Linked DNA regions of Oreochromis niloticus. Each later gene encodes a partner of the first gene's protein in a complex. Links are inferred from orthologs where the notes say so. Each region holds a gene or a part of one and is shown in the gene's direction. Other genes may lie near its edges.

Region 1 (7,795 bases):
GTTGACAAGAATCTCAGCACTGCTGCCATGGATTCAAATGGGCAAAAGGTTTGAAATCATTACGTTAGGTCTTGATCTTAGCCCTGTTTTAACTCACATCATCAGATCCTTTGAATCTTCATCCTCAAATCAAACCTGATCTCTTAAACCAAACTCAGGGCTGTAACACACAAAAACGTTTATAAATATTCTTATTTACTCACAATTTATTACAATGAGTTATTGTCAGCAGATTAGACAAGTGGTCTCCTTTGTCTCCGACCATTATTGTGAAGCACTTTGTGGTTTTTATCCTGTGTAGAGTGCTATTTAAATCAATAAAGTAAAGTAAAGACCAACTGACAATGAGGCTGCTGGTTATGGGCTAACCACATCACTAGTCACATCATGTCAGGATTAATTTTCTAGGTGTCGGAGTCAAACAATGTTAGATCAAAGTTTTATGAATGCCAGCTAACAGCAACAAAACGGCAGTGCTTACTGACAGAAAGATTCAGGATATCCTGAGCAACTCAATTCAGTATTGTGATCGGATAGAAGTGAGCTCTACTGATAGATCCACCCATCTTGGACAGATTTCTCAGTTTTACAGCCTTCTCCAGAGTAAATAGACATATTGACATAGTAAACTTGGCTATCTGAGTTTAAATAACAAATATGTGAAAACAGTATGCCACTTCCTAACCAATGAAGAGACAACATTTTTCAAAAGTGTATCCGCTCCAAGAAAGGAGCCAAGATGCTGAAACAAACTGATACGTACTCGGCCCTGGATCATTAAGGGCAACTGTGCTGCAGTACGAGATGAGACAACCATACCTAAGTACACCCAGTACTTTGAAGAGCTTAGAAATGCTCCTGTTGTTATTTTTCTACGTGTCCTTTGGCATCAGTGTCTTGACCCACTCACACCAGCAATAATAGGTTTAGGGAAAAGATTGTGGTTTTAGGTAAAGTAAACTGACAAACAGCAGGGTAAAAAGTGAAGCCAGTGCAAAATCAACAAAACTCCAAATCCTACAGTGGGTGATTTTAAAAAGAAGTTAGTTAGTCAGTAAAAAATAAATAATAAAGTGTGCTAACACAGGTAGCTATAGCTACTAGCTATCTGCAGGTCTCAATTCTTTAACTATCTTTAATTATTGTTTTTTATGTAAATGGTTTACAGGCACCATGATACTGAAAAATGCAGCCGATTAACACTCTGTCTTACATTCACTTGTTGGAATCACTGAACTGATCTCTTGGTCATTTTTTGTGCTGTCTGGAATTAGATTTATGCCAGTTACTAATTATTTAATTTGTAAGATGACCATTCATCTCATATATTACTGATAATATCCATATTTTCCATATTTTATTTGTTGTTTGTCATAACTTTGATTTTTCTCTTTCTCATCAGTTCAAAAAGTTGTGGCAGATGTGAGTTTTCTCTAACCTGCTTCAAGTGCTTGCTCATAGGTTAATGTTGGGTCTTTCACTGTGTAATATAAATTGCTTTTTGACAGTCATCACTGTAATATTGTGCTATATGAAGAAAATAAAACTGAATTGAATGGGTTTTTTCCACTGTAGTTATAAAAGTTCACATCTTTCTACAGTGGATCACTGAAACCTGTTTTTTGTTGATTATTATTTGTGTAGTTTGATTAAACTGTCAAATTCAAGTCTGTATCAAGTTCTCCTGTGGTGTTTAGAGAGGAGCGCCTTTCAAATGGTGTAGAGCACTAAAAAACTGCTCTCTAAAGTCTTGGCAGGGAGTCTGAGGACAAGTCCAAAAAGGGAAAAATGCTATTTGGCATTTTAAAGACGTCGCCATATCTGTTTTTGTCATGGTCATGCAGCATGCTTAGCGACCAACAAGCCACAGAGCTGAATAAGTAGCTCACATATTTACATGCTAATAGATGCATGGGGAGACTGTCTGTTCAGCATCTTCTTACCAAATGACACAATTACAGGCTTTGACTGGAAGATCCGACATGATAACCAAGAAGCAGTGTCATGGGCTGCTATATCTGATCACGGCAACCTGAACTCAACTGAGATGATATGGGATAAGTTGGAGAACATGTCATACGTGTTTTCTTGTTCTCTTTGCTTTCTTGTTAGTCAGATGTGAGGTTTCTCTAACCCACTGTTGAGTTGGAATACATGGCAAAGTATCTAACAACACCCTCACAAGTGGATCTCCTTCAAACTGCATGTTGATACATCCTGGGCACTATTCCAGGAACATCTGAGTTTGTTAACCCTGAGTTGAAAGAAACTCCTCGTTTTCTGTTTCAGAAAGAAAATTAACATAATCTCAGACTCTCAAGGTCCCTGAAGAGAAAAGGGTAATTAAATCCACTCAGAAATGAGCAGGAATATACAGGAATGACAACAGACGCTGGGCAACAACAACAACAACAAAAAGGCAGAGCTTAAATGTTTAGAACAGAATAGGGCTCTATTCTCATTGTACATGTACAACAAAATTGTGAGTGCTCCACACCAACTGTGCTAAAATAAAATATAAATAGGTGTCAGCAGGAATAAATAGCAAACAAGATAGATATATACAAAAATCAGAGGACAAAATAGTTGCAAAGTGCTTAAAGCAGTGCAAAGAGTTGAATGGAGTCCGTGTGTGAGTGTCCTGAGTGACGGATGTCATTCAGACCATGGCTCAGATCAGTGAGGTGGGTGGGCAGGGGTTGGGTGTGGGGGGGATAGTGTTTGTTGACTGTCCGAATAGCCCAGGAGAAGAAGCTGTTTGTGCTTCTGGAGGTGTGGGACCTGATTGACCAACCAGAGGGCAGCAGGTCAAATATGTGGTGGGTGGGGTGCAAGGAGTCACCTGTGATTGCTTCCAGGAACGCAGGGGCAGCCAATGATTTGTTGGGGCATTGTTAGCTACCCTATGCGCAGCATTGCTGTTCTCAGTAGCGTGTACCAAACACCAAGGCAGCAGGAGAACACAATCTTCACTGAGGAGCAGTAGAAGGCAGAAAGCAGCTTCTAGGTTATTCTTTCTCAAGACACGGAGGAAGTACAGCCAGTGCTGGGCCTTCTTTACGTTGGTGTTGTGGGTCCAGGGGGGTGGACGGAGATGTTGGTTGGGTGGCTTGGGGTACAGTCATAGATGTATAGGGCACACAGTAGGCGCTGAGAGCGTAGTCCTGTGAGGAACTCTTTGATCGAGGAGCAGGTGGCAGGGGGGATGTGGAGGTGGTCCAATTTGGATTCAGGATGTCTGAGATTATAGTGCTGAATTCTGAGCTGTAGTCCATGAAGAGCATCCTTATGTAGCTCTTCCTGTTCTCAAGATGGGTCAGCGCTCTACAGATGGGTCAAGGGATGAGGGTAGACAGTCCCTGATGTGGTGAGACACTATCTGCTCGACACTATCCGCTCGAAGCACTTCATGACTACAGACGGTAGGGCTATCGGTCTGTAGTCATTGAGCCTGTGTATACCAGACATTTTGGGGATGAGAACGGTAGTGGAGGCCTTCAGACAGGTGGGAACAGTGGCATGAGTCAGGGAGAGGTTGAAGAGCCTGGTGAGGATCCCCCCAGTTGGTCAGCACATTTGTAGTTGGTGAGGGCTTGGATGCCTCTCCACACCTGGTGGAGGTTGTTATCAGTTAGGAAGCCCTCTATCCTCCTCCTGTAAACCTCCTTGGCCTGTTTGATGCCCTTCCTCATGTTGACTGTAGCAGTGCTGTACAGGTAACTGTCCCCTCAGCCTGAATTACAAGTTCTACACAATGGACTCAAGTGAAATGGACGCAGGAGGGTGACAAGATACACCTAAAACATAGTTAAAAATGAGACAAGGAAGCAAAACTAAATGCAAAACAGAGGAGACATCTAGCTCTACAAACTAAAATGGGCAGTAACAAATGTGGAACAGAAATAAAGACACTGGGAAAGCTAGACTAACCAAAACAGAAAGGATTACTTAATCGATATAAATACTCCATGTAAATATGATTTAAAAATATTAATTAAAAACACTCAATACAAATGCAGTTAAATCAGCACAACATTTATTTTCAAATACAAAAAAAATACCAAAAAATATGTCAGCTGGACACTTTTCTGCTGAATAATAAACAAGCATATTTCCATTACTTTAGCTTGTTATTTAAACATTTTTTAAATATGATAAAATTTAAATTTTATATATTTTTTTAATTTCAAACTTTAATCTTCATCTTCACTGACCACAGTAAGCACACCATTTTTGATGGAGGGTTCATGTCTCCTGGCATTAAACAGAAGGTTGGGGGAGGGGCATTTATAAATTGGTGTTGATAGATTTTAAATATGTAAAATGTTAAATGCAATCACCCATGACCATGCCGGATAGCTAGTTAGCGAGCACATTTACTATTAGCTAAAGTGGTTTTTGCTGCTGCCCCTGAAGCGCAGAATTCATGAATTTGGGACTTCTGAGGGTGCAGTTGAGCACTTGTATTCACTGATTTGAGAGGTTGTAACCACAGAGGTGTAGTTGTAAGCAGTTAAAAAAGTAAATAAATAAATAAATGAGTAAAAGTTGAATTACAAACATTAATTTACACATTTATTTATATTTTCTCTGTAACCATACATTTAAAACGCAAGTGAAAATACAAGTTCAAATTCTTTCTACACATTATCTCTTTTTATTTGACAAGCTCTCGCATTTTGCATCGTATTTACTTCCATAAATCGGCCCTAACGGAAAAGTTGATAGTTGGGAAGTATATTTTTTGACCACTAGATGTCTGATGTCAGAATTATGCCGGTTTTCTGCGGCAGCGAAGGAGAAGAAGAAAATACGGAAGTACGGCTCCCAAACACATTCCCGTTGGAAGAGTAAAATACTGCAGATTGCCGTATTTGCTTTGAAACGAAGCATATCTTGGACTAAATATTCAGTCTCAATAAGACGATGGGCACTAGAGACGATGAATACGATTATTTATTCAAAGGTAAAGATGTGAATTTCTCGTTAGTGTCGTAGCTTTAGCCGATAAGCTAAACAGGCCAGCTGGTCAGCTGTCAGGCTAACTAAGCCATCGTCAACCTTTGTGCTGTGGTTGATTTTCACCGAGCTTTCAGGAAATTGTAGGGAAGTTGATATAAGGGTGTATACCTCTAAACGGCCTTCACTTGAGGGTTGGCGTTAAAGTGCTATTTTCTTTACGTACGGTGTATTTAAGTGGGGCGTCTGAAAAGAAAAGAACACTAGCTATTAGCTTCTGTTAGCTTGTTGATAGTGGGCGCGGACACGCCTAGCGTTAACCGTTATCACGTTATCTTAGGTCCAGCTTGACAAGCTACAGAAACTTGTGTGAGGATTGGAAAGAATGCGTTAAGAGCTGCTTCATGAACACGTGACCACAATTTTAAACAATGACCCAAATCATTCTTTTCGCCATTATATTATTTTTAAAGTATTTTTATTACTGTGAATGTATAAACTTTGCTTAAAAAGTCAGGAAGATTGTGTCTGCTTTACTATTTTTGTGTCATAACAATGCTTCTTGGTAATAAGTCTTGTACTGTTGGAATGCCTTTCTATTTCTCCTTAAATGGTATCGCATGTTTGGGTTGCACAAATGAAGAACTATGCCAATGTCAAACAACTATCTACTCTTGTTTTGAGCTTCTGGTACGCCGGGTATGGACAATCTGATGTCTGATTAGCAGGGCATGAACCTGATCAGTCAACATGTTTGACTAATCTGGATGAGATCCATGTCATAGGGCAACCTCAAGCTGGTGATGTGCAAGACTAAGTTTCAGCATTATTTTGAATGAGTCCTAGTGCCATCTCCAAATTGAAGGCCAGGTCCCATATGAGGGTGGATATCAGAGACAGGCTGTGAAGTGGGTGTCCCAACAAGACGACATCACAAACACACTGTCAGTGCAGTGCTCAGTCTTCTACAGATTTGCAATCAAAGTTTGGAGGACAATATTTCTTATGGTTTTGTACCCAGACAACCTGGAACAGACTGCACAAAGTGTGTCAGGAGGCCTGCTGTGACTGCCCTTCACTGTTAGGTTCATTTGTGTTAATAACGGGTGCAATTGAACCCTGAATGTGTACAGGAATGTTACGTTCAGCAACGAGTCCAGATTGTGCTTACTGCAGTTGGCTCATAGTGTCAAGTGTCAGAGTATGGAGAGGATGTGGAGAACCCTGTGCTGATTGATGCACCGATACGGTGAAAGCTTTTGGTGGAGGCAGTGTGACGGTGAAGAGCAGCATCTCTCAATGGAAAAAACAAAGCTTCTCATCACTGGAGGTAATCTCAGTGGAGCTAGATATCAAGATGAGTTTCTGTAACCAGTGGCAATCCATATCTCCACAGTCTGGGAACAATCTCTGTCCTCCAAGACGCTTAACCCACACAGAGTGGAGTTTATCAGAGATTAAATCCAGAATATAGGTGTGGAGAGCATGGAATGATCTGCCAGCAGTCCTGATGTCAACCCAGCTGAATGCTTGTAGCATCAGCATGAAGGGGGGTTGTCCTGCCAGAGTAACCAACACAACCACACTGGCTGCTTTGTAATAAATATTGGTTGAAGAATAGGATGCAGTCCCACAGCAGTGTGTGGCCAAGCATGAGGAGGAGATGAGGCTGTCGTGGCTGTGTTTGGTTCTTCCACATGCTACTGAAGTCCCTGTTAAATGAATAAATTGTGAAATTGCCGGTGTGTCTTGTTTCTTCACACTTCCCATCCAATCCAATAAATGACAAACGAGTCAGTAGCAGAATGTGTTTGGCATTGGAAGTTTTGGCAAGTTTTTATTGGTGTAACCCACATACTCACCTTTGCTACTTAACCCACAACTCTATTTTTCTTTCACCATCAGGCAGCGTTTAAGCGGAAATAAACAGGTTCTTTAATGGTTTAAGATTTATTGCCAGGCAACATTCTTCCAACAAAGAAATAATCAACCGAACACTAATTTCCTTACTTTCTGTGCTAAGTTATATATTTGTACCCACACTAGTTTCTGTGATAGGCAAACTGGACAGTTCTTTCTTTTTTTTGTTTTTAAGAGATTTAGTGGCTTTTTTGAACAACCAACAACCTATGAGACTTTCACATATGGCAAAATTCACTTTAAATATTTGGGATCCCAGCACTCTCCTCATTTTGGTCTCACACATTCCTTTTTTATAAAATTTGCCTTATTCTGTTGTGTGCTTTTGAGTCCCCAGTTGAAGCTGTCACAAAATTATTACCACGCTTTATGAGTTGTTTTTTCTGTATTCATTGCAGTATCAAAGTATGATACTTTGATATGATGACTACTGACAGATATACTACTAACATAGTTCAAGACAGACAGGCTTTCTCTGCCTTTGCTTGTTCAACAAAACCTCATTGAAGTTTTGAGGCGGGTGACCTCATGCCTTCCCCTCATTGAAGATGACGGGAATCACAGAGTTGATTATCAGCTTTCTGTTAGACCGGGCTTTCTGCTTCAGGATCTGTGCATGCTCACATAAAAATGGGTGTTTTGTAGGTTATATGATTCTTTTGGGTAGAAAAGGATCCCCGAGTTTGCTGCCTATGCTACTCAAAATATTATCAGATGATGATAAAATAGTGATTAAAAAGCTATGAAGAACATATAAAATACAACAGTAAAATGCATCATTTGTGCAAATAAGATGGATAATTCTAAAGAAAATAGCTAACTGTGTGATTTAACGCACAGAGTAGTAAAATAAACATATCAAGTTAACTTTAACACTGAGTGCACTCTCAGTGCTGTTGACTTCTAAGGTGACGGC
Region 2 (6,902 bases), on another chromosome or scaffold:
GTCTGGAGGTTTTAAAATTACTAGCAACTTCATAGGTGCTGCTGCTGCTTTATAATCAATAAAAAATATCTTTCAGCCACCTGTTTTTGTTATTACATGCTTTATTATTCAAGATTTCTACATCAAGTTTGTAGTAGATTCACATTTGGCCCAATAAAAAAGCAATAAAATGTAAGATTTTATTACTGCAAAAAAAAACCCCAACTATATGCACAAATATATTTTTCTTTAAGTAAAAGTATATTAAGGTGAACAGATTATGTTTGCGCTTGTAAATTTAATTGCAAAACCTTCAGTTTACAGGAGATTTTTTTTTCAATAGTTGGCAGCAGTTGCAGAAAGCAGCAGTTTTGTTGGTCATAAAGGTCATAAAGAGCTGGATTAATCTTTAACAGCGTTAAAAACCTGTCGGATAAATGTACAGTGTGCAGAGTTTGCCTCAGGAATGTAACGGAGCACAAGGGTAAATTTAGTCCACAGCACCTGATGGACCAGTTAACCGAGAGCAGGCGACTGCAGAACAGGATTGCAGAGCCGAAACCAACGAGCTCCTTGGCCAACACATTCCTGCCTGATGTTGCGCTCATGACAAGAACAAAGAGAAATGCTGCTTGATGAGTTTGAAAAGACAGAAATGAGGAAGTGACTGGAGAGCCAAGAAAAACCTAAGTATAGACGAGGCGGTCACAGTGAATGAGCCTGGGTCTGAAACCAGCCTGGATTCACGTGGGTCCTCAGTCACAGTTCAGCAGGGCGTTAGGTTTAGTACAATGAGCACAACACTTTGTTAGCTGTCACACAGCTAAACTGGCTCTGCAGGTGTGGAGATCAATTATGAACCAACTTATCTCCAAGTTGTGTAAAGAAAACCCTCAAATCAACATAACTCAGATTGAAAAATGCTCAATCTTGAGGCACAGGCTCATTCTGAGCATCATTGTTGGGTTAAATGCCAAAAACCTTCCATAAAAAAAATTAAAAACTGAACACCACAATGATACTTCTGTTTAAGTCTTGACTACTTGAACCCAGACTGTTCTCTTTCCACCACTGTTAAGCTATTATTGTTATTATTTTATAAAGATTTCTACTTTTTTTCTTTTTTAAATTAGATAAAATATGTATCCTTCTAATTCCTGCTAATCTAGAATAATTTCACGGTCACAATTAGGGAGCAGCTGGTTTGCTCTGGCTCAGGACCTGTAGGTAATAAATGCTGAGTCAATGATGAAACACACAGAGGAGTGTTACTACACAGTTATGAATGAAACCAAGCCCAGGCAGTTACACGCACTCATTCCTCTGTTATCAATATTAATATTTCTCCCGAGTCCATTATTTTTTAAGCATCTTTAGATTTTCTTTGGTTTATTTATATCCCTTCATGATTATTGATAAACTGATGTAAACGACTCTATTTTTAATGGTTTTTTTCACTGAAATGCTGTAAATGATCTTTGCTTTCAACATTTGAAATACAGCACATTTTTAATTACTCATGAACTTAACTTTTCCTTTAAACGATAACGAATAATACATACTTTTATGCACACATTCCTGCTCATGGAAATGATTATTAACAGTGGATCATTTCGGTTTTCACGAGATGGTCACAAACAGACAAATCAGTCTTTACATGTGTCTCTCATTCTTATAGGAAAGTCTGTCCATATGTTCTGAAGTGTTTTCAGTGTACTGCATTTTAACTTTAAACATCTATCAGACCATCACTGAAAAATAAATCTGCCTTAGAAAACTTCCTTTTCCATTTTACACCTGGACAAAAAAAACCAAACAAACAAGCAAAAACAGAAAAAAACTCTAAACAAAAACAAAACAAAATGCGGCAGAATGCAAGAAAGTAAAACTTACCCATAAAATCCTCGCACGAATCATCCTGAAGTTCAAACCAGAAGCTGGACAGATGATTTTCCTCCTTCACAGAGAAGGCAGCAACATCAGCCTCTAATCTGGCTGGAAACGATAGTCCGAGCTCCGTGTGCGTAATGACACCACCCGGCTCGTTACGCATCACTTAAAAACACGGGGAAACTCCACCCCCAGAAGGGTGTGTGTGTGGTTTATTCAGGTGTGTGTGACACAGTGGAAATATATTACACACACACACACACACACACACACACACACACCTCAGAGTATCATAGGGATGGGTTCAGAAGCAGTAGGACATGTGAGATTTGTTTTGTTTTGTTTTGACATGTAATTGAACTCATCACATTCCTATCATTCTTTTGGGACTGCATAAAAAAAAAATCAACAATAGAAGAACAATAGAAACAGTTTAAATCAAATATAGATCAGCCAGCTCCCCGAATCTGCATCTTTATAATCTTTATATATCTATATCATATCTCCATATTACACAGTTACAGAGTGACATATGTGTGTCTCTGTTTTACAATAAAGACTCCAAATTGTGTGTAAAATACTTAAATTTAGCTCCACAGTCATAAAACGTAATATGACGTCAGTGACGGGACTCGCTGTGCTGCTCACTGAGTAACTGTAACTTACAGATTACTCGGGTTTTGAGCACCCTGATTTTTTCCCCCCAACTTTATTAAGACTGGCTGACATCAACGCAGAATGACAGAGCGTTAAAATCGTTCAAATACACTCAGTTATACAAGTATATTAAAATGTTTAAAAAGGTGAGGCTTTTTTTATTCTTGTTGTCCATTATTGAGTAAATATTTTGCTTTATATAAAAAAGTAACTGGAGAACTTGAATTCATGAACCACTGTTTCCTATTGGTTCCACAAAAAGTATAATTTAAATTGATATCACCTTCAAGTCTCTGATGGTAGTGGTTAGTTGGATAGAAGCTATGAAGCATTTTAAAAGAAACGTCCTTCATTGGTCAGAAAGAGTTCTAGTGGTAAAAACCAGACTTTGTGCCACCATTTTCCACAAATCTGGACCAGTATGTTTGAGAGGAGGGCGAACATGTGCAGCCCCGAAGAAACAGGATCTAGTAGAGAACAGCTCCAGAGACCCGAGGAAGCACTCTGATGGTGCGGGTTCGCGTCTTCGTGTGTTCAAAGAGCGCACGCACAACAAAACATAGCGCGTCTTTAAACTTGGAAAAACGGGGCTTGTTTGCCCCCTGGTGGCTTTTAATTCTTCTTCACTGTTTATCTTCATCCTCACACACAGCCTCTCTGACTGGAATGAAGTGAACATTTAAAGATTAAAACCACTGGAGACCTTAATCTCAAGGAATATACCACCTGTTTGTTCATTTTTTCCCTCATACTCAGGGACCATCAGGGAATACTATTCCCATTCCGAGCTACAAATTATTATTATTATTATTATTATTATTATTATTATTATTATTAGTCGTAGTAGTAGTAGTAGTAGTAGTAGTAGTGGTAGAAGTAAACTTTCAATTTTGTTTATTACAACTTAAACTTAATAAACTTGGATTTTGTCACTGAATATTATCTCGTCCCTACTATATATTTGAATCACTTAAAAAAATAATTACTGTGTGTGTTTATTTTATTTAATTATTAATTTTGTGTTTTCACAACTTTAACATCGTAAATTTAACATTTAACAACAATTTAACTATCATAATAGTTATTCCCCTCACTGAGCGATATTTTTATTTTATGATATATTTCATATATTGTACCTTTAGTTGTATAAATCTTAATTTTTATTCTCTCCGAACATTATCTCTCTGTCCAAGCACAATATTTTATTTATTTAATTATTATTATAATTATTTTATTTTACAACTTTTAGTTCATAAGTCCAGACTTTTTGAGCTTCATATTAATTTGAATTGTTTTTTCTTAGTCTTTATTTGTTTCTTCTTTCACGCGCTCTCTTTTTTTTCTTTACAATTAAATTAAATGTAATGTAATTTTATTTGTTAATGGGCCTAATGCCGAGTAATGAATTCCTGCTCTCTGCACTGTGACGAACTGCTTGGCGGCTCTGTGGTTTCCCAGCGGACCGTGAACGTACCTCCCGTCAGTTGGAGCTCCGCTCTGCGTCAACAGCCGCTCCGGTGAGTGTCTCTCCGTTTGTTTGTCTGTTTTTCGGGCTGTTTCGGCACGTTACCGTTAGGAAGACTGACCGACTGGGCTGCTGTGCACGCGGAGGTCCGGTGAGTCCACCTTTAAGGCCTCGTTACAGTTTTTATTTTAATCCGTGAGTCGCTGAGTTGGGCGAACTTGCTCAGCCCCACTAGCTTGCGTGCTACATACAAAAAGCATCGATGCGCCCATTATCGGACAGCGTTTCTCCTCTCTCTCAGCATCACTCCGTCACTCTCTCAGTTTTCTGTGTTTTAAAGCGAATCCGCAGTTTCATAAATCCGTGCATTCATCTGTTTGATGTAATCAATGAAATTAGCTAGCCGTGGCCAGGCTTAGAGCAGTGGCCGATAATGGAAGCAGGGGTTCCCTCTGCAAGCCATTCCCTGATGTTTACTGAATGAGAAGGACGGATGTGTTTGGGTTTTGTTTTGTTTTTTTGTTTGTGTTTTTTTTTTTAAATAGTTCTCTTCTTGTCATGTGCTTCATTTCCGTGTTTTAACACACCTGTGCCCACACTCACCCTACTAATGTCAAGTAATTGGCCAGCTAACGTTAGCTGCTCAGCTAATCCTTAGCCCGATGTAGCAGCGAAACCCGAAGCTCCGCGCAGAGACGCCGCTATCATGCATCTTTCAGACAGCGTCAGGTGACAGCCCTTAGCTCTCTAACTTCAGCCCCCCGCAGGTGCTCACGTATTAATGCATTAGCATAATAGGTAACGTCACTTAACGTGCTATCCGCGGCTAATCTATTGCTAGCTGTCCACAAGACACCACCTGAGAGCAGGAGTAGCTCACCTGGAGGAATGACCTCCAGCGTACAGGTGACACTGTAAGCAGCCCATCTGGGTGCAGGGAGAGCTGGAGGTCGGGTAAATGAGCAGAGACGCTGTTGCAGGTGTAAACTCAGGTGATATTTGTGCACATGCTGCAGTTTTTGTGCTGAGCTGGTTTCTCTGAAGTACTACAGTGTGTCAGGACCACTGAAGGTAAGAAGAGGAAACCCCAGGGCTCAAAAAAAATTAAAACCTGGCAGATTTATGAGAAAAAAAACAGTACAAATATAGACGACAACACCTGGCACATTTATGGCAAGAAATGAGAAAATTTATCAGGAAAACCTGGCAAAATTTCAAATACAAATTGTACATTTACACATTTTATGAGAATTAACCGGCAAGTTTTCAAGTGAAAATTTTTAAATGTACAAGAAAACAAATGTCAAGTTTGTGGGCAAAATAGGAAAATGTACGAGATAAACTGGCCAAAAAAACCTTAAGTATATCTGCAATTAAAAGAAAAATCTATTTAGAAAAACTACCAAATTCACACAGAAAAACTTAAATGATTAAAAAAATCCAAATTTGCAGCTTAATTAAATTTATAAGCAAAACCCTGCAAATTCACAAAAAAATTCCATTTTTGAAAATAAAAATATCACATTTCCAGTTTTAGAAAAAAAGGCAAATTCTTGAAGAAAAGCTGGAAATGATTTATTTTTTAAATTGCCAAGTAATTTTTAAAAAAATGTAGAAAAATGTGTGAATAATTACCAATAAATGAATGCAAACTGACCTCCCTTTGCACTTTACATATCGAGGAGTAAGTATAAGAAATCTACAGGCTTAATCCTATTATTGAACAGACCCAAAAGGATTTTAACGTCTGGCTTGTTCTGCTCAGTCTTTAAATCCTGATAATTCAGTTGATACATCTGATTATGGGAACAACCATTACCTGTACACATCTGTAAGCACACAGAAGTTTCATAGGCTTCTGGATCAAACAGGCTCTGTCAGGCCTGGTCGTCGTATGTTTGGTGAAGCAGGTATTCCTTCAATGGCTGTCTGTGCGAGACGCTCTTATTTTTTTGGAGATGTATTAAAGGACGGCGTTCACCTGTTCTTCTTTCTGTTAAATGATAAATGCAGGTCAGTGCCACGGAGCCCCGGCACCTTTATTTTGACCCATTTGTCACCGCAAACTGTTGATGGTGAGCTTTTCATTGTTGTGGTCAGTCGAGCTGTTTGGGATTCGCGTAAACACCGCCACTGAGACACAGGATGAGCCTTCATCGGGCGGCCCGAGTAACCCGGTCTTTGCACGACGTGTCGGGTTACCACGCCAAGCTCTCTAGGACTGGTCTCTATGGCGACAGGCAGGCAGGGAAGAGGAGTCAGGTTGTTTTTAATGAAGGTGGAGTTTCACCTGTGTGTGTTCATGTCCATCACCATGTGTCATACATCCTGGATGAGTTTGTGCTGATGTGTTTTTCTTGCGGCACAGTGTCAGACATGTGAGCTGTCTTTCTTTCTTTTATATTAATATTTTATGGGATGAATAATTAAACCAAAATACCTTAAATTATCTAAAATCACCATCTTTTGCAGTATTTGATTGTTTCAACTCTCTTTGTTGGTTGGAAGTTGTGATTGGTTGGTGGAATTTGGCTCTTTAACCTCTGACAGATATATCCTAATCTGACATTACTTCCTGATTTCTGTGCCCCGTGTTTGAAACCACAAACCTCCTCAACAAACCACACAAGAGGAAACAGGAGATTCATTTATATCAGGTATCATCAGCAGTTTTTTGTAGTCTGATGTCTGATTGGCCTTGAATGCAACGTTAATGCCTGCTGTCAGCTGCATTCCAGCATCAGTGAAACTCGGACCAAACAATGACACGACTCAACGTTAACGGAGTCCGAGACACGGCATCACAGCTGAGGATCATTTCCCAGCATGCCTCACTGCGGCGGGAACAAAACCCCTAATCAGGCCTAATGACGGGCGCAGAAGAAGAGATGACATGATGATACTGACGGAG
Region 3 (7,644 bases), on another chromosome or scaffold:
TCAATTTATTTTATTAACTACTTATTGTGGAAAAGTAAAATTCCCTGTGATTTAATGGACATTAAAATGTGTTCAGAATTTGCAAACTGATGATCATTCACAAAAGTTAAAAGTACTGGTTTGGTACTGGCAACACTGGCGTTGTATTTACTTTGTATCAGGTCAATACCAATACCAATACCACAGCACTAGTGGAAGACACATTTTTAAAAGGTTTTATTATTTGTTGAGCTTAAAGATCTGTCATTACTTTTCTGTGTTAATAAATACACAATGTACACTCGTCAATATTTAGACAAGTGGAAAAAGGCGAGAAGCAGGGTACAGGGTCTGTGATAGACTGTGGCAGTCCAATTTAGAATTAACTGTTAACTGCTTTAGACTGTGGGAGGAAACCCACGTATGCACAGGCACATGTGAAGATTGCAGAACATGCAATCTTCACACAGCTGACCAGGAGATTTAACCCTTTACCAATGCGCTAAGCAAATGTATCAATAAGGTACATTATCATTGCTTTGAATTCAGAAAGGTGCTTGAGGATGAGACATGTAAAATCCCTCCAACTGGGAGTGCTGAAGGTTGCCTCCTGTTGGGCATTGGTGAAATATCTTTAAGAAGACACATCCAGGACATCAGATGCCAGAAGTGCACTCTGATACCAGAATTATCCCTGAGATCTCATTGTGTCACTATCTAGAGCTACTGAACATAGATGAGTCCTGGAATGTGTTGTAAGTCGGCTGTTAACATTTTCCCCATGACAGTCCTGGATGCCTGGACATGATCTCAAGCTCATACCGTGCCTAACTGTGCAATGAGACTCTCCTGCTACCAATGCTCTAATTTCTACACTAGGGATAACATAAATAATGGTGGCGTCAAAACAGTGTCTCCCAGTATACCACAGGTCTGGGCTTGGAAATGCTGACCCTTGTTTCAATCACAAACAACATTTGAGCAAAACTACTTCAACAGCAAAAATCTAAACTATAATCCACAAGTCAGCAAACTAGACACAAGACAGCCATAAACACAGCCGGGCACAGGGCAAGACTATAGTAGAGGCCCATGCCCTCTGGCACAACAATTCTTCTGTTTATACAAGCATCAAATAGCTCCAGGCAGCAGTCCAGCTTCCATAACACCTCTTTACATAAAAGACCTTGTTTTGGAAATGAAGAAAAATAATTCTACACAGCTCAATACATGGTAAACTTAATATATACTTGGTTTATAATAACTAGGTTTAGAATGTGATGACAAAGCCAAATGTTATCAAAAAGCTGATTAGAGCCGCAGCTTTAAAGTTACCTATTTCCTTCTACATGGTCCTGCTCTTTACTTCTGTGTAAAGCACAAGTCATGAGAGGATGATGCAATTTTTTTTTCTAGTGTTAGTTTCACTTACTTTTTCTAAGGTTATGAGGTAGAAATCAAGACCTTTAGGGAGTCACCGGGCTGACATGTGGCCCCAGCTTAGCGGCCCTTTTTAGCTCTGCTCGTCATGCTGCAGTCGCACATCTGCACCTATATATCAAAGCCATGCACAAAAACATTCCTGAGAGCAAAGCAGGGGTGATTTGTGTGCCTTTCTCCTTCTTTTTTGATTAAAATTCATCTGTGATCTGACTGTTCGCTCAGCTAAAAGCTATACCTTTTAAATCAGTCATCCGTCCAGAACTTTGACCTGCACCACATTAAGACCAGCACTGACATCACAACTGTTTCCCCTCTCCCCGCCGAGTCTCATGCCTCTTTCATATATTTTCTCTTGTCCTCGACAGATGGACAACCTTGCAGCCAGAGATTTTTTAAGTGTTTAATAAATGTAATACAACCTATATAGTGTTGAAGAAAGGGCCCTAAACCAGAACCATGTGCGGGAAGTGGATGGCGGCCGTTAGGGGCCACAGCTAATGTGGTTCAACATGTGGACCGGGCCATGCTAGAAGGTTCACTTACATGTTGGACAGTTTATGACCTTCAGCGCTGTTCCCTCAAAATGTAGACAGCGTCCTTACATTACTATTCTCTAGTTTATAGCGTGATATTTTGTTTTTAAATGCACCTCTCCACGAGAGGAGAGTAATAAAAGGATACAGGTGATGTTGGAATGCAGTGTCTTTCATGTTTTTATCTCACAGAGAAGAAGCACTGTGGTATTATGTTCATAAAGGGGGTAATATATGAAAATGTTTGACTTATTGTCAAATTAAGGGGAAGAGTGTCTTGACCCTGGTTGTTTATCTGCATGCCTCTGGTTGTTATTTCATTCAGCTCGGTCCTGACACTGCTAACCACAACAGACAGTGAAGTGCTCCTGAGAAGGAATGTGAGTAGTGATGCGACTGGATAAATCATAAACACTTGGAAGTTACCCAGCAGCTGTGCAGGGCAATTGCTCAAACTGAAGTATTATCAGATCTTGACCTGAGTTGTAAACAAAAATCAGCAGACTCCCAATGGTTTTTGCGGTTTTGTTTTTCTGTAACTTTGCCCCTGCTTAAAATCAAACAGTTACAAATCTAAGATGTGTTTCTTTGTGGGGTTTTTTTTTTTTTTGCTATTGTATTTTAACCCGTCACTGGGTCAGTCATTGAGAACTCATGCTCTGCAGTCACATTTTGCACAATCCCACTTCCATCAAATGTCTAATAGGAGTGTGTCACTTGGATAAAAGCTTCTGTCACAGCTAATGCAATTTTATATTCTCGCTGGGAGACTTACTGAGCTCTCGCTCCCTCAGTACAGCAGCCAACATACTGAAAGAGCCGTCACACCAAGGACACCATCTGTTTGACCCGCTCCCCCCTGGTAGAAACTTCGGGTCCATCATGTCACAGACGAACAGATTTAAGAACAGCTTCCACCCTCATGTGAGAACTGAACACTCCCAAACATTTAGTGACTGCACTTACATTCCTAAAAAACTGCACAGATGTGCCCATATCTCAACTGCTCGATGATCCAGCAGTGCAATATCTCAGCTGGCATTCATTGCATTGCATAATTATTTATATAATTATATTTATATCATTACTATCTGAAATTAGCTGATTTTTACATTGTGACTGGTGCATGTGGTGTGGATGCACTTACAGGTTTTGTGCTCCATTTCTGCTGATAGACTATAAAACAGGGTAGAGAAATAAAACAGACACTGTGTTCAGACAATAATCTTTGACTTTGTTAAATCAAGTGAACTGACTACTATATACTCAAGAGTCTTTAGATAAAATTTACATTTTGCAAATTACAACTGGCCTGCTAATTTCTAGAAATATCCACAATGGTCTACAACTAAATGGAGTGGGATTTCATTTGTATTATGGATATGTGTTTACACACGTCTAAACTAGTTACACAAACACATCAAAAAGTTTGATAAAGATGCATTATCCCCTCAAAAGGGTACTTATTAAGGTGTGTTCGGAAAATATACACAGGATGCTTTATAATATTACATTTATTATATTTTATATTTTGTAATTGTTTCTGAAAACTTAATATCCTAAATTACAGCAAAGGTTTTAAAGTCTCTAAAGCTATAAAATAAATCAAATTCAAATACGTTTTAAGATGAATACGTTAAAAAAATGGCACAAAGCAAGTGGAATACATATTGTTACTTTTTTAGCAGAGTGGATCATACCCGGCCTTACTGAAAAAAATCTTCCAGCTAAAGGAATAACTTGAAGAGGTTTGTAGAGAAAACAAACCTGAAGGTGCACATCAACCTCAATAAATGTAAATATTATATATGCTATATTTTAAAAAATATGTTTTATGTATAAATCCGTTTTAGGTGACACAAAAGCCTTTTTTCCAAGACTAAATGTGATATACAGGCTATGGCCAACATTTTGCCACTTCTAAATGCTTTAAAGCCACAGCTACAAAGAGACATTGTACTTTCATATTCACCTAATGGAACAGCTAATGTAAAACATGAGGGTGAGATCCACGAATGTATTAAATGCTATCTGACTCACATTTTTGTACAGCCTAATATTTCACTAAGCCTTAGCATTTCATTCAGAGATGTACTCTAGATAAGTGCAATAATCTCAGTTTGATGGATGGCCCAGCCGGAGCCTAGGGCCAGTGGTGTGTACATACTGCACTGGTTGCGGCAGAACGATAAAAACCCACACAGGCAGGTGTGTTTGGTTAAGATGCACTTGTCAAGTGGGGTGACAAGCATGTCTGTGTTCATTCAAGTGAACCCCTTATCGGTACCTCCATGTCCCACTCATGAGACAAAAGCACTTCCCATGTTTGTATGATTTACCTCTCAAGAAAATGCGCGAGCACACGCACGCTGTGCACACACATGCGCAACAATATCTCACAGAAAGTGTGTTTGCTAGAAATTTATACATATTTATATATCCTGTCATTGCTGCTTACCTGTACAGTACACCCACAACCCAGCACCAGTACCGAGTATGGAGAACATTCTTCGGTTATGCTGAATTTGTTTTTGTTTTTCAACTTTTTCTTCGTCTTTGGATATTTAAGCAGCTTTCATTGATTTTTTAAAAAAAAATATTCTTTCACCTAATTCCCTTAGAACGCGCGAGCGAGCGCTACCACCTTATTTTGACACCTCAACTTTCACCGGGGTGAGCCGGAAGTGATGTCAGACTAGGAAGTAAATCTCGCCACTGGCCGTCAGCAGTGAGCAGTAATGGACTGCAACAACAGCAAGTTCAGCGAAGATTAGCCGAAAGTGTCGCATGAGTGTGTTTGAGGGAAGAGTTTGTGCCGAGCTGAAGCGCTGAATGTCCGTGTGGTGTTGGTGAAAATGACACCGAGGTAAGAAGCTGTGTGCTTGTGTGTGATGCTCTCTGTGTGCTCACCAGCTAGCCGCATAATGCTAACGTTGTCCTCCAGTCTTAACTGAATTTACCCCTAACAAAGCTTCACGAAAAAGTGACAATTTAATATTGCCTCGCATCATTTAATTGTTGTAATCAGTTTAGTAATATTTACTTTTGACAAACCTGTGGAGAGACGCTCACTTAAAGGGACATTGCATCTTAATGTAACTTACATGGCTACTTACACCACTTCTTTCATGTATACCTGCATCAATGCGTCATCTAGAGTTATCTAGAGCCACAGCCCATGACTGCTTTACTTGAATATGTGCACAGCTTCTTAATCTCAGTCAAAACCTCTATTTTCAGTCTAAACTAATTTGAAAATGATACATGAAACGGTCGCTCTATATCCCACTGAGTGACTCACTAATTCAGTGACAATGACACCAAAATGTGTCACTGGATGAGATCATCAATATCTGCCTTGAACCTCCATCTTAGGGACATATATTTAAAGATATTGTGCAAATCATACAGTGCAAAATGTGATTTCTGCTTAGCCGTATTACTTCCAAAGTGGCTGCCATCAAATTATTAGCAGGCTGCCTGCTTTAATATCAGTTTTCTCTGTGTCTTCATAAGCCAGGCTTTCATTCTTGGCAAAAATAATGATGTTTTCCTGGTTCTTTCTGTTCTGTTTTCTTGCAGATGACTCAGCAGTGGCTTGGACATCTGTGATCTGACAGAAGATGAGACTTGCTCAGTTTGTCAAACTTATGGTCCACTGTAGAAAGTGCTGCTAAACGCTGATATCAGACTATAGTGAATCATGATTGCTGCTTCTTGCATGTCACACTCACTGAAAAAAACTGCTGCATAAATTATATTTGACTTTATTTTGAATGGATTTCAGTTAACAGTTGGTGCTTACAATGTCACTGGGCGAGCAGTCTCAAAAGTGGTTTCCAACCCATGTCCAAGCCACTGTTCTTCAAGCAACTGGTTTACAGGCCAAAGGCAAAAATGGCACCAATGATGCCTACACTATCATCCAGCTGGGCAAGGAGAAGTACTCAACATCAGTGGCGGAGAAGACCCTTAACCCTGTGTGGAGGGAAGAAGCCTCCTTTGAATTACCTGGCCTACTTTTGGAGGGCAACCCAGAAGTGTATGAACTCTGCCTCATAGTGATGCATCGCTCTCTGGTTGGGATGGACAAGTTTCTGGGTCAGAAGTGCATAAATCTTAATGAAATCTTCGATAACAAGGAGAGAAAGAAAACAGAGTAAGTAATAAAAGTGTATTAAATATCACAAAACATCACAAAGGTTCTTAGGGAAGTTTTTTGGGGACATAATCACTACTGCAGTGGGCTCTAGAAGTGATCCATTTATCCTCATTTTTGAAGAAGATTATGTTATAACCATGTGTTTTTGCTCTCTGATATATATATATATATATATATATATATATATATATAGACACACACACACACACACACTTCTTGGAAAATATAATTCCCTCAGATTTTTTGGGACAGAAATACTATTATTAGCAGTTTTTGCAGTCATTGCAAGGTCAATAGTTTCCCTTCAAGAGAAGACCTGGGCTGGTTTTAACACTAACACAAATCATGGGACATACAGCACTTTTTTTTAGATAGTATAGTTCTTAGACATTAGCATCACATGTACATTATTCAGGGTCTTTAGTCTGTAGTGTCTTGTTGGTATAGAGACAGACCTTTGAGAGGAAGTGGAAAATATTTCCACAGCCTTTCCAGTCATAAGTGGATTACACCATGAGCTAAGTCAGTTGTTATTTGTCACATTTGCCACAAGTATTACTGCCATATTAGACTTCACAAATGTGCTGTCTTTTGCATGTTATATTAGGCACTGTGGTCTCAATTAAGGTCATGACCCAACCCTGTTGCGCCACATGATTTAAGTACCATAGTGTTGGCCTTATTTTCTTTGTGCACTTGCTTTAGAAATACACTTTATTAGATACACAAGTTTTAATGTTAAGAGCAGAGTAAATGAAATGCTCTAACAGAAGCACTTCACTTTAAAACTATTTAGCACACCAGTGACACACTTTCATGCTCAGTTAGCAAGGACATGTTGGTTGTACTTTTTTTTTTTTTTTTTTTTTTTTTTTTTTTTTTCCATCTTCATGACACTGTATTGTTTGAGGCTTAGCAATGGATTGGCCTACGCTGCAGAGAGATTATTTTAGAGTAATTACTGACACCAGTTGACCTAACTGAAACTAGTGGAGCTGGACAAACATGTCTTGTTAGCCACTCCTATACTCCATTTTTTGTTTTTGTTTTTTCAAAGGTGTGAATGTAATATGGGCTCTCCTTCAGAGCCAAAGACGCCTGGGATTAAATCTTGGCTTGTTTCTGTACAGTTTAGTTTCCCTCGTGTTAAAATCTGGCCTCTATGCATTGTGCCTTTCTTGGTGCAAAATACATTCAAGTTTGGAAACAGATATTTATCTATGCCACTATATTGGTGGACAATAGTGGGCGTCTCTCTGAGTCATAATTGGGTGACTTGTTAAGGCTGCTTAGTTGCCTTCAAGTAAAGCCATGCCAGAATAAGGTTTGTCCTCTTTAAAGTTACTGAAAAAAGATTTGAGGAGAGAGATCGATGTATAGATGTACATTCAAATAAACTAACACAGTGTAAACCATCAGAGCTTGGAAAGACTCTGCTGTATTTGGCTAAACTTTGGTTGATGAGCCTTAAAAGTCCAACACACACACACACACATTTCTTAACCCTACATTAAGCAAACAGGAACT
Region 4 (7,312 bases), on another chromosome or scaffold:
TGAAGTTATTCAATCATCGTGTTAAGGAAATATCACACTAACACACTCTGACACACTCTGAGGTTTTCATAGGTAAACTTGTGCAAGCACAAATAAACTCTGCATCATTTCATCATTACATCATAGCTGGAGGTGGGATGGACAGAATAACATGAACACCTCAGCATGACCACAGTGTTTTGTTTTTGTTTTTTTAAGAATGCTGAGAAATAGCAAAACAATCACCTGAAGGTCAAAATGACTTAAAAAAAAACGGTCTCTGCAGACCTGAAATCACCTGAATAACATATTCACTTAATATTTTCATTTATTTCAGTTCATCTTTATTTCACCTGATCGTGTTTGTAAACCAAACATAAACTGTATATCAAAGATGGACACAGCATCTAGGTCAGTAAAGTGAAGTCTTGCACTCCTCCTACTATGCAGGAAAAAGAAGTCAAAAAGGGAGTCTGACTGAATAGAAGTCTTTGACAAAATGAGTCTACTGCTCACCTGATCTCTGACCTCTGTGAATTTTTCTTGAAACTCCACCCTTTCCTCCAAATATGGTCGCTTCTGGTCCCACAGAAAGTAACATGGCAGCTGCCAAATTCCTAAGAAGTAAGCTTTAAACACTTGTTGCTGTCCCTCAGCACACCTCTGAAAACTGGTGAAAGAAATCAGCTCATCCAAATCTCTGAATCATGCACAGCTACCCTTGTAGAGTCAAAGAATAAAAAAAATGCTTACATGTTTATGCTGTCCATTTTCTTGTGTAACTAACTGTGTCTCTATTGCAAAGACTGACCACAGGACTGAACGGTGATTTGTGCAGCACCAATAAAGATTATTTTGAACTGTTAATCGTGCACAGCTCCTCTGTTCCCAAGCATGAAACAAAGAGCTGGAAAACAGTGATATGAATGCTTGTGCCACATTATATTTCACTGATGTCAGAGGAGCACAGGTTCAGGAACATTAATGAAAATCACAGGTCTGTCAGCCTCTGGTGAGATTTCTTCTTCCGTGTGCAGCCTGTTGAAGTTCTCTGTTGTTCTTTTTCACGCCTGTGTTTCACAGCCTTCACGGCTGTGGCAGCGTGATAAAGCCTGTTGTGGGTGGACCGGCGTCTTGTCAGATTCATGTGCAGGTAAACACCTCATACCAGCAGAAGGAGTGGTTTGGGAGTGGACTCATTAGCTGAGTAAGAATAATAGCTGTGCTCAGACAGGTCTGAGATGAGCTGCTGCTTCCCACAATCACTGTCACAGGATCTGATGCAGCTTCCTTCAGCACATGAGGATCTATTTATCAGCCGGAGAGGATGAGTGGAGATTATTACCCCTACTCCAAGGTAAAGGACCCGTTATCGCCTCTGTACTTGCTGTAAGAGCTCATATCTGTGGTTAATGTTCACACAAAATATTCTCTATAACGTTCAGCCTGTCGGCATTACACAACATCTCTGATAACAGACACACTTTACTGATGTGTTATCAGAAGGAAAAGTCTGACTTACATGAGAACATTTTATGTAAAACCAGCTTTATACTTTCAAATTTTATGTCTGTGAGGAGCTATTACAGGAAATAAAAAATGTGATGGGTGGTGGAGCATGAAGGTCAAATATCTACTTTTTCTGGCTCGATAGAATTTTTAGTTTGACTGTGTTTGTGAGAGATTTATCAACATGTCTGAAGAGAAAAGGATAAATTAGTTAGTTGGAAGGATTCTTAGAGGCCTGGATGAGACACAAAGAAAGCAGCCAAAAATCCTACATTTCCCATAGTGCAGCTGGATGGAGTCTTACTGCACTGAAGCAAAACATTAACAGTGAAAGAGACCCAAAATCTTGAAGCAGAGCGTAGTGCTCTTTTAGTGATGAAGTATTAATATCATCTAAGCAAAAGCACTGTATTTTTAATAATACGACTGGAGCTTGTTTACTTTCTATGCTGCTGTGTAGCTTCATCTGTAATAACAAGGCATAATTTCTCTCCAGATTCGTATTTTTAGATTTATGTCTACAAAGTCTCATGCACAGACTAGTTTTAGGCACCCTTTGGTTTTGAATCCTGCTGTGTTAGTTTTTTGTTTCTGGAGTGACCACATTTAGACGAGGTGGCGGAGTGCAAACTGACCACCCAATGCTAGCTAGCATGTTAGCACCAAGTTACATTCCTAGAATTTTACTAAAACTGGAGCTCAGACTTCTCTGCCGATCTGTGACAATAGTTAAACTCACAGCAACCATGATATTGGTCAGATAATTGCCTCCAGCAGCACGAACGCGGCAGCTACAGCCACCTCTCACCACCATAATAATGCAAACTGTAATAATTAGATCAAACCCAACAATCTTCACAAAGTCAACAAGGGAGAAATAGGTTATAGTAACAAAACAGTTTCCTGTATCAGCCTGCAAACATGTTATTTCTGCAGTAAAGCCGAACATTTTAACATGGGAGACTATGGGGACTGACTCAGCGTTGGAGTCTCAAGTGGTCATTAGAGGAACTGCAGCTGTGCAGGCTGACACTTCATCTTGCCACAGACTAGGAAATGCCTCCTGGCAGTTATTTAAAAGACTGAGTCAACAGTAATAAATTCTACGTCAGTGGTCACCAAGTCTGAGGACTTTATCCCAAAATAACATTTAATAGTGTTTTGCTTTTGTTTTTTTTTGTTTTTTAACGGCTGTCCTTGCAGGCTAACTGACATGCACAGGTTACATCGGATTAAGGTGTAACATGTGACATGTTTGCTGGTTTCAGCCTACAGTGTAACTCCTACTGTAAAATAAATGGATTTATAAAGTACATGATTTGCATTTAAAAATAGAAAGAAACATAAAAATTCTTAAGTACAAACCAGGTGTTAACACAGGATTTCTTTACATCCCACCTCATTATTGCAGCTTTGATTGGTCTGGCCTCTTTCTGGTTCCACTGCATTCAGTTTTTGTGGTCAATTTAAACACAAAGAGTTGAAGTGGAACAAAGCTTAAGGTGTGGAAAGAATGACACGACACGTTTGGATGAATGCTGTGAGGTGAGGAGGCGTGGACGAGCGTTAAATGATTAATTCTCACAGTGTGCAGCCTGTTTGCTTTCATGTCTGTTTGTCTTCTCTTTGTGACTGATTGTTTGACATTCTAGTTGTCACTCCGAGCCTTCAAGAAAACATAATCAACAAACAAAAGAAAGATTAAAAATAGAAAAATGTAAGTTCCTCTGAGGGTAGTTCTCTAATCAACCAAATGATGGTGCTATTGTGACAGCACCACAATTCCAATATTTTGCAATGCTTACTTAGACAGCTAATTTTGGTTATTTTTACTTATATTTTTAACGTTTTTTAAATATATTTGACTAATTGTGGTTTATATAGTTTTATTTATTATTGCTTAATAAATAAACCCTTGCACTTAGTGGTAAAAGTGGTACAAGGTCAGCAGTTTGTATTTATAATATTGACCTTTATAAACAGATTTGGTTGTAACTAGATAAAACATTAAAGAGTTACAGCAGTTTGACCGTTAAAGTGGCCACACCCACAAAGGTGTGTCAGCCAATCACAGAAAAGAAGTTTTAGGTTTTTAGAGGTCATTGATTATAATATATACAAAGTTTGGTGAAGAGTGGAAGAATATTGGAGAGCAGGCAGACAAAAGTATGTTTTTGTTTTATGTATGTATGTTACCAATGAGCTTCTCATATGTTGGAGGATTCCCACTGTGGGGTCTTCCTGCTCCATATATGGCGCTCTGAATTACTGTGAGAAAGACTGAAAGTCATATATGTTGTTTTATTACAGTTCATACACATGATTGACGCTGGATTTGCAATAAGTGAAATAAAATTCGGACTTTCAGAGTTTAGAGAAGCAGCTAGGAGTGATTATTTTAGCGGTTTAGCTCTGTTCACTTAGACCCACACAAATAATTCTATATACTGGAATAAACAGGCAGTGGAATTGCTGCCGTTTTCCACTGGATCCACAAACACAATCAGTCTTGTATTAATTAGTTCAGAATATTTTGCAAGGCTTCCTAATTTCTGAACAGTGGTGAGCTATCTGTACCAGATCTGACTGTGTGAGGCAGTGAATTTTGGAGAGGCTGACATAGTGTTGATGCTTTTACAGGGTTGGTATTCACAGAAATTCAAATAAAATGTTAACTTGGGAATTTTTTTAAAAAAAGGACCCCTCAGGTTTCTCTCAGGACCCTCTGTGGGGCGCCACGCCTCACGTTGAAGCACCCCGCGTCGTGTGTGTGTGTGGTTGAAACCTGGCTTGGAGCCAGGGATCAGCCAATCAGCGGGCAGTGTGGGGAAAACACGGCTGTCAGGAAGAACCGGCCTCCTCCCTCCACCTGCGGGTCGCTTCAGGCTTTTCGTTTCCGTTTTTCTGGATTTCGGGATCCTTCTTCCGGTTCTAACACTTTTCATCGGCTCTGAGTTTACCCTAAAGTATCCGAGGGTTCGTTTTTACCGGAGGAAACACCAGCGGGAGCGTGCTCCTTCGGACCGACACTACACCGAACAAAGTGACCGAAACTCGGCCAGACACCTGCTGCGGGGCATGCGCACTGGAAGGTCTCTGCTGGTTTAGGACCGAACCGGAGCGCAGAGGGACTCTAATGGATCATTAATGGGCACAAGAGGAGCTTGTTAGTGTAGTTTGATCCACCGGGAAGGCACAATGTCCGTGAACGAGCTGTACACGAAGGTGAGTTTACTTTTCACCTGGAAAACAGACGCGCACCTGCTGGAGCAGCTCCAGCCCGAACCCCGTCACTTGCGTCGCCTTTAGCCGCTCAGGTCTCACCTGCACTAAACTCTGAGCATGGTTTATGTTACCTGACGGTGTTTATTCAGATTTTAAAGAGATGAGTCACCTGTTGGGACTTGTGTTGGAACATTAGTACATGGCGCTGCGAGTGGAGAGTGAAGTAACGTTGGAGCTATAAATGTTGACGCTACAGAGGTGGGGTAGGGGGATATTTGGGCTGAATGTAAGAGAGGAACAGGTAAAGCCTGGATAACGCCAAGTAAAGAGACTTTACCGAAGAAATTCCACAGAATGCATACTTTACTGTAAAATGGCTAATTTTTGAATGGAGTCTTGCGTGCGGCTGAGCGGACAGGTGCAGGAGGCGCAGATTGAGTTAAAAGGGACCCGTGTTGGATTTCAGAGTGGTTCACAGGACTCAGGCTGTCTGTGAGGCCGTGCTTGACGGTTTCTGTGATCAGGGAATTATCACTGGTTGAATAAACCTTCAGAGCGAGACCGGAAGCTGGATTTCTGCTGGAAGTTTGAACCTGTTATCAGCCTGGAAAAGCAGCATTATTACACTCACTGATGATTCATCACTCAGATCACTGACAGCCCATCATCTGCTCACCTGCACATCCGTGATTAATGATTAAAGCTCATTTTCTATAATAAGCAACAAAAGAAAATCAGAGATGAAGTCATTGTCTTATCTAATGTCTTCATCCTTCAGCCACACGCACATGCACACAGTCAGATCATTAAATTTGTTGTGTTTGTCTTCCAGCTTAATATTCTTCAGCATCATAAACCGACAGGCAGAAATGGGAGAGAGAATAAAAACATAAAACAGCTGATGAGTAACAGGAAGAAAATGCTCAGACAAAAACAAAACAAAATAAAAAAAGAATAAAAGCAGAGAGACTCTAATGCATTGTGGGGATTGTAGGATTCAGCAGTGTTGTGGGTTCAGTCAGGCTGGGCTCTGTCCATCCTCTGATGGTTGGATTTCTTTGATTCGAGGATTCGACTTTGTTGTGTTCTACTCTTTAATCTGAGCTTCGTTCCCGGTCTAATCTGTGACTCTTTATTAACTCAGCAGGAACCTGTTTGAATGTTTGTGAACTTGTTAACCTCGCCTCAGCTTGAGTGAAACCTCTGCTCAATCAGGCTGTCTGAAATCTGAGATGCAAAGACTAAATGAGCTTCCTCCTGCAGCAGAACTCACTGTAGTCCCACTGTAGTCCTTCAGTCTGTACAGTCTCATGAACCACTGTAATCAGGCAGAAAAGTGTCTTCTTACGTCAGCATTTACAGCAGGGGGAAAAGTTGTGAGTTTAATTTTGTGCTTTTTTTCTGAGATCTTCTTGTGAGAGATGAGAATTAAAACTTGTCAGGTTGTTTTGTTTTGTGATCTTGGGCTCTGCTTCATTCTCTGAAAACTTTGAGTGCTGCTGTTTGAGTGCTGGAGTTCAGTGAGTCTTCTTCCTCATGCTGTTATGAGAAGAAAGTGACTCAGAAGCCGACTTTAATCTGTTGATGCTTCATTTTATTACATGCTGCTGATAATGATGGCCTTGACTCTGACACCAGATGTATTTTTAACTGCCGTCATTTTGTCGTAGAGCTCTTCTGCACCAAACTCACTTTGACTTTTGGACCTTTCAGTTTGAACTGAAGCAAAATTTAATGTGTGGACTGTGCAGAAGTGACAGCAGGATCTCTGACAGGTTAGGTTAGGTTAGACTCTGTAGACTAAAGTTAGCCTACAGCTTCAGATTGTGTTGATGGGATGTTTCCACAGCTTATGTTTATAAAGCTGTAGCTTCTTACTAAAATCACATTTTAAAGTTTCCGTGTTGTTTTATGTTGTTTTGCTTCACTGAACCGCATTTCTTTCATCCTTTTTAATTTAAGTGACATCATAAACTCTGGCTGAGACAGTTGTTGTCACAGGTTTTGGTCTCAGGATGAAAACCTCGTAGTAAAGGTGTCATAATTGGAAAAAAGGGGGAAATGAGCTGCAGCAGCACCTGTAGACAGGACGCTGGATCAGCTACGTTTTAAAAAGCTAACTGTAAATAATGACGGCAGGCTGTAGGTATGTTCAGAGGACAGAAGAGAGGTGCACACCTGTCATCGCACCTGTCCATATGTTTAACCTGTGAGCGCAGAGTCTGTGTTCCTGCAGCAGTAACAGTGAAACCTGTGAAGCTGGACCGTACGTGCTGCTGATACAGCTGCTGCTCCTCTACACTGAAAGGAGGCAGTTGAAGTGGCTCAATCATCTGACCAGGACGCCTCCTGTTCACCGTGTTATGTTTTATCTATCAGGGAGGACACCCCAGGACAGACCAGGACAGATTATGTCTCCCTGCTGTCTTAGAAAGGGTGGAGGAGGTGGGTGGGCTTCTCTGCTTGGATCCCTGCCCCCGAGATTAGGGGCAGCGGCTTCTTCCAGTCTTAAAAATACCGATCACATCGTAAAAATTCATTGCAATGAAAAAAATATAAACAGAAACAATCAAACCATCTCTGGAATGGAACAAAAACT

Evidence for each region.
Region 2: the proteins of ras-related protein Rab-11A (region 1) and rab3ip are in contact, whole or in part, in a crystal structure (PDB 4UJ5), measured with the Homo sapiens proteins. The link is inferred for Oreochromis niloticus from reciprocal best matches to the Homo sapiens genes RAB11A and RAB3IP. Residues at the interface, in NP_004654.1 of Homo sapiens: Phe36, Leu38, Glu39, Asp127, Leu128, Arg129, His130, Leu131, Arg132, Ala133, Pro135, Thr136, Leu156; in NP_783322.1 of Homo sapiens: Asn367, Thr368, Leu369, Ser370, Ile371, Glu372, Pro373, Asp412, Arg424, Thr428, Cys431, Asn432, Thr435, Tyr439, Leu444, Val445, Lys446, Gln447, Gln448.
Region 3: the proteins of ras-related protein Rab-11A (region 1) and rab11fip2 are in contact, whole or in part, in a crystal structure (PDB 2GZD), measured with the Homo sapiens proteins. The link is inferred for Oreochromis niloticus from reciprocal best matches to the Homo sapiens genes RAB11A and RAB11FIP2. Residues at the interface, in NP_004654.1 of Homo sapiens: Arg33, Ile44, Gly45, Val46, Glu47, Phe48, Ala49, Thr50, Lys61, Trp65, Arg72, Arg74, Ala75, Ile76, Ala79, Tyr80, Arg82; in NP_055719.1 of Homo sapiens: Glu478, Ile481, Asp482, Asn483, Leu485, Val486, Met489, Glu490, Pro493, Ser494, Leu496, Arg497, Val498.
Region 4: the proteins of ras-related protein Rab-11A (region 1) and myo5b are in contact, whole or in part, in a crystal structure (PDB 4LX0), measured with the Homo sapiens proteins. The link is inferred for Oreochromis niloticus from reciprocal best matches to the Homo sapiens genes RAB11A and MYO5B. Residues at the interface, in NP_004654.1 of Homo sapiens: Leu11, Lys13, Arg33, Glu35, Ile44, Gly45, Val46, Glu47, Phe48, Ala49, Thr50, Gln63, Trp65, Glu71, Arg72, Tyr73, Arg74, Ala75, Ile76, Thr77, Ala79, Tyr80, Arg82, Gly83; in NP_001073936.1 of Homo sapiens: Ile1627, Gln1628, Gly1629, Leu1630, Trp1706, Met1710, Arg1713, Tyr1714, Ser1717, Gln1718, Glu1721, Arg1724, Gln1745, Leu1747, Gln1748, Leu1749, Lys1750, Lys1751, Glu1755, Ala1759, Leu1763, Tyr1779, Glu1786.

The regions. Positions count from the first base shown.
Region 1 is NC_031965.2:5,551,856-5,559,650, forward strand, and holds the start of ras-related protein Rab-11A, read left to right. Parts: upstream 1-4,777; 5' UTR 4,778-4,926; coding exon 4,927-4,966; intron 4,967-7,795. UniProt on the Homo sapiens protein: The small GTPases Rab are key regulators of intracellular membrane trafficking, from the formation of transport vesicles to their fusion with membranes.
Region 2 is NC_031981.2:19,555,654-19,562,555, reverse strand, and holds the start of rab3ip (rab-3A-interacting protein), read left to right. Parts: upstream 1-3,891; 5' UTR 3,892-4,043; exon of another isoform or gene 4,044-4,142; intron 4,143-4,594; exon of another isoform or gene 4,595-4,720; intron 4,721-4,824; exon of another isoform or gene 4,825-5,062; intron 5,063-6,902. UniProt on the Homo sapiens protein: Guanine nucleotide exchange factor (GEF) which may activate RAB8A and RAB8B. Promotes the exchange of GDP to GTP, converting inactive GDP-bound Rab proteins into their active GTP-bound form.
Region 3 is NC_031978.2:25,621,631-25,629,274, forward strand, and holds the start of rab11fip2 (rab11 family-interacting protein 2), read left to right. Parts: upstream 1-4,628; 5' UTR 4,629-4,821; intron 4,822-5,537; 5' UTR 5,538-5,761; coding exon 5,762-6,114; intron 6,115-7,644. UniProt on the Homo sapiens protein: A Rab11 effector binding preferentially phosphatidylinositol 3,4,5-trisphosphate (PtdInsP3) and phosphatidic acid (PA) and acting in the regulation of the transport of vesicles from the endosomal recycling compartment (ERC) to the plasma membrane.
Region 4 is NC_031972.2:36,569,763-36,577,074, reverse strand, and holds the start of myo5b (unconventional myosin-Vb), read left to right. Parts: upstream 1-4,294; 5' UTR 4,295-4,686; coding exon 4,687-4,713; intron 4,714-7,312. UniProt on the Homo sapiens protein: May be involved in vesicular trafficking via its association with the CART complex. The CART complex is necessary for efficient transferrin receptor recycling but not for EGFR degradation.